Danio rerio: one gene and its partner. The protein of the gene in region 2 interacts with the protein of the main gene of each other region in a pairwise test. Links are inferred from orthologs where the notes say so. Each region holds a gene or a part of one and is shown on either strand. Other genes may lie near its edges.

What was found. The genes of interacting proteins can lie anywhere in the genome.
Region 1: the proteins of prpf40a (region 2) and ccnl1b interact in binary tests that used the Homo sapiens proteins (3 or more experiments, as listed by UniProt). The link is inferred for Danio rerio from reciprocal best matches to the Homo sapiens genes PRPF40A and CCNL1.

Annotation. Positions count from the first base shown.
Region 1 is NC_133177.1:39,643,060-39,646,559, reverse strand, and holds the end of ccnl1b (cyclin-L1), read left to right. Parts: intron 1-2,350; coding exon of another isoform or gene 2,351-2,353; coding exon 2,354-2,443; intron 2,444-2,531; coding exon 2,532-2,880; 3' UTR 2,881-3,258; downstream 3,259-3,500. UniProt on the Homo sapiens protein: Involved in pre-mRNA splicing. Functions in association with cyclin-dependent kinases (CDKs). Inhibited by the CDK-specific inhibitor CDKN1A/p21. May play a role in the regulation of RNA polymerase II (pol II).
Region 2 is NC_133184.1:4,681,951-4,685,907, reverse strand, and holds the start of prpf40a (pre-mRNA-processing factor 40 homolog A), read right to left. Parts: upstream 2,801-3,957; 5' UTR 2,598-2,800; coding exon 2,595-2,597; intron 1-2,594.

The DNA.
Region 1 (3,500 bases), on a different chromosome or scaffold from region 2:
ATTTTTTTTTTTAAATATTTCCCAAATTATGTTTAACAGAGCTAGGAATTTTAACAGTATTTCCTATAATATTTTTTCTTCTAGGCTTATTTGTTTTGTTTTAGCTAGAATAAAAGCAGGTTTAAATATTTTGAAACCCATTTTAAGGTCAATATTATTAGCCACCTTAAGCAATATATTTTTTGATTGTCTGCAGAAAAAACTACTGTTATACAATGACTTGCCTTATAACTCTAAGTCTTTGAATTGCACTTTAATCTGAATGCTTGTATTTTGAAAAATATATAGTCAAATATTATTTACTGTCATCATAGCAAAGATATCAAAGAATCAGTAATTAGAAATGAGTTATCAAAACTAATATGTTCAGAAACAAGTTGAAAAAATCTTTCCATTAAACAGAAATTGGGCAGAAAAAGGGTTGCTAATATTCAGGAGGGCTAATATTTCTGACTTCAAATATATATATATAGTTATTTTCCACTCTCCAAAGGAAAGAGAAATAAATACAACAGAATAAAAATATGAAACAAACTGTGCTTTAAGCATCTTCACTGTAAGAAAAACACTTTAGCTACAAAAATCCTTCAGTCAAGAGCAGTGAGGGATTTGCTCGTTTTGTTTGATTAATGATAAAAACAGGCGGCAGCAGTAACATTGCGCGCTGTCTCTTCAATGGTTTCTCTTTCACGCTTCTTTTGATCCTCAACTCGTTTGTTTATTACACAAATGAGGGTTAATATGAATAATCACTGAACACAGCGTTTTGACACCTATTTGACCTTTAAAGCGCTCGCGTTAAGATGACTTTAGATATCTGCGTTCCTCTGCTCGTCTTAGTGTGTGAATGAGACCGAATGCTGACCGGCCGCATGCTTTTGGCTGTGTGTGCTTGCCGCTCTCACACAAGCACACGGTGTTTTGCGCTTTTAAGAGCAACAAACGTGAACAGCTGAAAGGGGGCGGTATATGATGCAATAATCGTTTATCTTGATTAATGGTTTTTCATAATTGTTTGAAGCCAAAATGGAAATCGCATTTTCGATTAATTGCACAGCTCTACCCCAAACATTATGTTGCCAAATGTTTAAATTGTTGAAGTGCTCAGTCACATGCAAATGATAAACCTTCACTCTATTGTGGTTAAAATTAGCAGTGACTCTACAAATCACGTGTTCTGTAGCTCCTCTTGAACTATAATTCAGACTCAACATTGCAAATCTTGCAGATACACACATTGCAATATTGATGCTGAAACGATATATTGTGCACTATACTAAACATGCGTTGTACAGTGCTGATATACAGCCATACCACACTGCTACAAGTGTGATATTGCGTTTATACAACAGTTCAACGGCACAATCTTGTACATAAAGTAGAAAATCAAACACAGTCTAAAACCCTTTTGCATTAGGAACTACTTTTTTCAGCCGTTCATTCACATCTGCAGCTGACGTCAGAAAAGCAGAAGCCGTTACTAATTCACCAATGTCACTTTAAAGCTAGTATTTGAATTATTTGAATGACCTCCTTAAAGTGATGACAAAACAGCAAATTTTGCTCACATTTTAAGATCATAAGGCTGAACGTGACATGAAATGTCATCAGTCTACAGAGATTTCTCCCTACAATCTACTGTATTTCTGTTGCCATGGGTATTGTGACGGGTGCCAGGTGTCCCAGCGTTTACCCAGAGACTTTAAGGAATAAAAAGAAGAGACAAACTATTTTGCTCTTCCTATTGGCCTTGAAAAGGGAAAAAGAAAATGATGATACTTAAAAAAAATAAATAAAAAAAGACGCTCAAACATCCAATGTTTTAAGATTATATTGATTTAAGAACCAGACAGAACTGTTGTATAAATAAATAAATTAATTAAATTCATTTAAATATATATATATATGTCAACAAATTTGAGACACTGCTCGCTGCAGAGCCACTTGGGCTCCAATGAGGCGATCTCTCTCTCTCTGCTAATTTTATAAATATTGGATTCAAAAGTTCTTAATCTGCGCGTCACGTGAGTTCCGTGGGTTGTGATCTTTACCCATGGTATATTGTCAAAACAAACTTTTATTTTGGATGCGATTTATCATGATTGATTTTTACTTTGCAAAATTATTTTTTCGTTTATGTAACAATTTTAGTAATCTTATGTGATTGAGGAAAAACTATTAAAATCAAAATGCTAAATTTCAGAGTTGCAGAAACCTTTTTTGTTAATTGTTTCTGATCTTTAACTAGATTTTTTATACCAGAATTTTCGCTCATTAACAGCATATACTCTGATTTACAAAACTATATTATCCAAGTAAAAAATTATTAATATTTTTTTTTATCATACAGAAGTATAAAAAAGGAGGACGGCAAAGTGTTTCAGAATGGCAAGAACCACAGCCGGTCCCGATCTCGCTCTACGTCTCGTTCTCCACACAGACAGTAAGTTCTCTTCTCTTCATGATGCTGTTGTTATTCATGCACATCAAGGGAACATTTAAAACCAAATCAATGATCTGTTCTCCCCCAGTCGAAGGAGCCACTCAGGAACGTACAGCTCTCACAGCAGCCACAGTCCGTCTCCACGTCAAAAAGCCAGAAGACCGTCACCCATCAGCCAACTCAGGACAGACCGAGACCGACCCAGCGAAACCAGCCGTCACTCTAACAAGAGGAGGAGGTCACGGAGCAGATCTCGCAGCAATTCAAGAGAAAGAGTCCGCGATCGTGACTACATCAAACACAAACAGGAGGGCAGCGGCTCAGGGCACCACTGGGACCATCGGGACCGTGAGCGTGACCGTTCACGTGATCATGGACGAAACAAGCGCCAGAGCCGATCACATTCTGGACACAGTCATAGCAGACACAGGAGATGAAGCACAATTATGGACAACAGGACAAGACTAACGCTTGCTTCGAAACGCTGTTGTTTATTAACTGGTTAAGAAGTGGATGTTCTATCAATGTTACTCTTCTTGCATCTGACCGGTTCAGTTGGGCAAGGTAGTGGTGCCTTTTTATGTATTTGACAATTTAAAAAAGTGTTTTACTTTAAACTTGAAAGTGAACAACAGACGGACTGATCAAAATCTGCCTCTATCAGGGAACACATTCGCACAGAGCAGACGATACCTGTGCATGTTCAATGTCTTTTCTTTTTTTCATCAAATGTACATATAAAGCCTATTTTTATGATGTCAGGAGACTTTGTATTCATCTTTCTCTGCAGAAAATAAAAAGGATATAACATTCTACAACTTCATGTGTGTGATTTACTTTGATGTAATAGGGGATGCGCGAAATGACCTAAATAGAAAACCTTGATTAATTGAACAATACCTTGATTTCGAAAGAATAGTGGTTTTATTTTTAAGGTAATTGTTTACTTGTCACTCCCCCACTGTAGTTCATTATGGTGGATTGAGAAAGACAACATACTGTTATTCTACATAAATGTATTATTCTTATGTCTTCTGAGACGAATTACTATATCCAT
Region 2 (3,957 bases):
CGCCAAAATATTCAGCAATACTGTTCCTAAGGTATGTATATGATTTTTCTATTTACTTTTTAAAAAGTTTTTTTTAGGACAACAGTATCTCTAGTAGAAAAGATATCCAAAGATGACGATTTAATTGTAAAGAAATCTGTTTTTGAAACAAATGAAGACAGCAGAAGTTATTGACTCATTTTCATTATCCAGCCTGATATGTTTACAGCTCCAAAATAGAAATGTTTCTCAAAAAAAAAAATGAAAAGTATTAAATTCACTTAAATATGCTGTTGTGGGTCTTCAGGTCTTAGTTTTCCCTAATTGTCCATGTAAAGCTATGGCCAATCGGTAAAACCAACAAATCTATCAAAAAAAGTTTAACAAATTTAACATTTATTAACTATTTAACAATATGTTTTGTCTTCCTTAAGATAACATGTTTTTTTTATTGTTATTATTATTATTTCCTTTATTTAGCCAGGAGATTAAATTGAGACAGTACTGTCTCTTCTTCCAGTGAGACCTGGTGTTTAAAAGTTCTCCATGCTTTTATGCATAAATTTATGTTGAGCATAAATTTAGTTTATTATAGCTTTTAAAACTTTTTTTAAAAAAAGGTTATGCTAAATTATATGTTTATAAATAGAGTTTGCAGGTTGTGACACATTACTTAAAATGTGTGACTAAGAAATAACTGAGGGGACGCAGTGGCGCAGTAGGTAGTGCTGTCGCCTCACAGCAAGAAGGTCGCTGGTTCGAGCCTCGCATGGGTCAGTTGGCATTTCTGAGTGGAGTTTGCATGTTGTCCCTGCGTTTGCGTGGGTTTCCTCCGGGTGCTCCGGTTTCCCCCAAAGTCCAAAGACATGCAGTACAGGTGAATTGAGTAAGCTAAATTCTCCGTAGTGAATGAGTGTGAATGAGTGTGTGTGTGGATGTTTCCCACAGATGGGTGGCGACTGGAAGGGCAGGGTAAAAAAATGTGCTGGACTAGTTGGCGGTTCATTCCGCTGTGGCAACCCTGGATTAAAAAAGGGACTGAGCCGAAAGGAAAAAGAATGAATGAAACAACTGAATTTAAATTTTAATGGTGCAAGTGAAAAAAAAATCCATTGGTTATTACTGAAAATTATTAGCGCTTTGCCATTTCATTCATAATGGTCCATCCATCACAACTTAACAAGCGGATACTAGAAAACAGTGACATTTTTATAAAAGGTTATCATACAGCCAGAATCTTATACCAGCCCATGCCTACACGGAACAATAGGATTTCTTTGCTGAACAATTAGATGAATAGGTTTATTATTATAGTTTGATCATGAATGTCAATGCCGTCCAGCAATAATGCTGATTCCTTTACATTTATTGGATTGTATTGTATATGACTTTTAGCCAGATGCATTAAATGTGTGGAAAAAGCTCTAAAAACAGTATTTTTTGAAAGGGATAGAAAAGTCATGAACAGTGATGGGGCAACACGGTGGCACAGTGGGTAGCACAATCGCCTCACAGCAAGAAGGTCGCTGGTTCGAGCCTCGGCTGGGTTAGTTGGCGTTTGTATGGAGTTTGCATGTTCTCCGTGGGTTTTCTCTAGGTGCTCCGGTTTCCCCCAGAAGTCCAAAACATGTGGTGTAGGTGAATTAGGTGGGCTAAATTGTCTGTGCGTGAATGAGCGTGTATGTTTCCCAGTGATGGGTTGCAGCTGGAAGGGCATCCGCTGCGCAAAACATTTGCCGGAATAGTTGGTGCTTTATTACGCTGTGATTAATAAAGGGACTAAGCCGAAAAGAAAATTAATGAATGAAGGAACAGTCATAAAGCGTTCATAAGACAGTAAGTTACCAAAATCATCAAATAGAGAAACAAGTGCTGATAAAGATGCTGAGCATCACTGATCTGTGACTGATCCTCCCCAAGTCTATTCTAATGACAGAAAATATCAAATGTTCCAGCCAAACCAGCTTATAACCTTTAGTTAGTATTCTTACATGTACAGAAAACCAGTAATCTGCTCAGTATCATAATAACCATATGATTTTATTAGTCTTTAACAACACAATCACGGAAGATATGAGTTTAATCAACTGCCACTCAAGTTCGATTAATTTAAGAGTTTTATTAAAGTTTGATTAGTCGACTAACATCTCAATTCGCCAGGAGCAGATGGACTGTCTGTGATTAAACTCAATTACTTTATTTAATATTTTCAGCGTGATAAGAGTTTATGTTCTCTACGTTAGTTACTCTAACACAGCATAAACATCTATGCAGTCAGTAAAGCAAATGATTATCCTACACAAGCAGCTTCCATACAGAAACGTCTGACACTATTAGATGTGACACATTTAACACATGTGCTTTAATAAACACAATAACACATCCAAACCTTCATTCAAACGCACATTAGCTTTAGCATTAGCAGCAACCACTCATTCACATTAGCTTACATGCTAACCAGTCTTTATTTCGTCTACGCTACATCCATTTCTTCACAGCAACTGTCTTTAACCAAAGCGAAAACACGGGTTGTTGTTTAAACGTGTGCTAGGTAGTCGCCAGAACACGACAGCGTTGCGTTTATGTGAATAAACTGTGTATTTAGCTGGACTCACCATGATGAGAGAACATGCAGCGGCCCTCCGCGAGACAAAAACCTACGTTCTGATTGGCTGCCTCGCGCCGGGTTCAAACTACAGAGTTGTGCTTCAGTGCAACTACAATGGGTAGGGCATGCGCATGCACGGGTTTGAACTGCAGGGGGAGAAAGCAACTGTAAAGCTGCGCAAACAAGACGCAGACGTGAAGCGTAAGTACGAGTAAGATTACTTTATGCCACATAATATTTATAAACAGATTGGTGGTCTCAGATTTTTGTTAACTTGTAGTTTTTCTCCATCAAAACTCCCTATAAACCTCTCTAAATTTCATGAACAGGCTCTTTTGGCATGGAAGTTATGTTTCGTTTACAATTTTTTCCTGCACAAAGTGAAGCTATGAAACAACGAAAGCATCTTAGTAAAGAATAAATCGATTTTTAATCAGAATTGGCATGAAAAAGACATTAATTATCTTTGTGATTTACTTGATTCACAAGGGAACTTCTATTCATATGGTGATTTTATGGTTAAATAATTTCCCAATTATTCATAAAAAAATTCATACTGTGATTAAGGCCAGACGGTTCAACGCTAACAATTTTTTTTCCACTGGTGGTTCCGATTTTTATTTGCCCAACCAAAATTTTCACTGGTCCCACCAAAAAAAGTAGTAAATAACTATTTCTTAGCCACATATTTTAAATAACGTGTCAAAAGCCAAACATAACTTCAGCATAACTTTTCTTTGAATACAACTGACAATTTTAAAAAATACAACTGTGATGTAAATAAATTTGGAAATAAATATATGCTTAAATTATAGAGAGAAATAACAGATGAACTGATATATTGATATTCAATATTGATCTTTCTTTCTAGTTGTCAGTGCAGAAATAACCAAAACAATAGGCCTAATGCAAAATCTTATAAGATTAACATATGGAAAAGTTCTCAGATGGTAATTTGTCACAGTTTTTCCAACAAATAAACAGCTCTCTATTTCAGCATGCTTCACTTTCATATTCGACATAAAATACACATTTGCCAGTAGGAATGACATCCGGCCCTACTCATAATTCTCATTTTATATAGCCATGACTATTACACAACCATAATACACAAATAGTCTGGTTCGTTAGTTTGTTGGATCATTTTGCTTTCTCATTACAATCGATCTCGGAGTGATTGTTTTGGCGTGGATCTGAGCGCAATTGCGGGATTCACATATGTCGAACGAACCATGCTAACTGGGCTAGCAAGACAGGGTCCAAAACAAACGTTTAAGTGTGAAAGCACCCTGTTTGCACGCAATGACAGTCACAGCCAAATTAAACTTTAGTGACAAGGCAGCACATGCTTGATCGGGCCACTAACAATC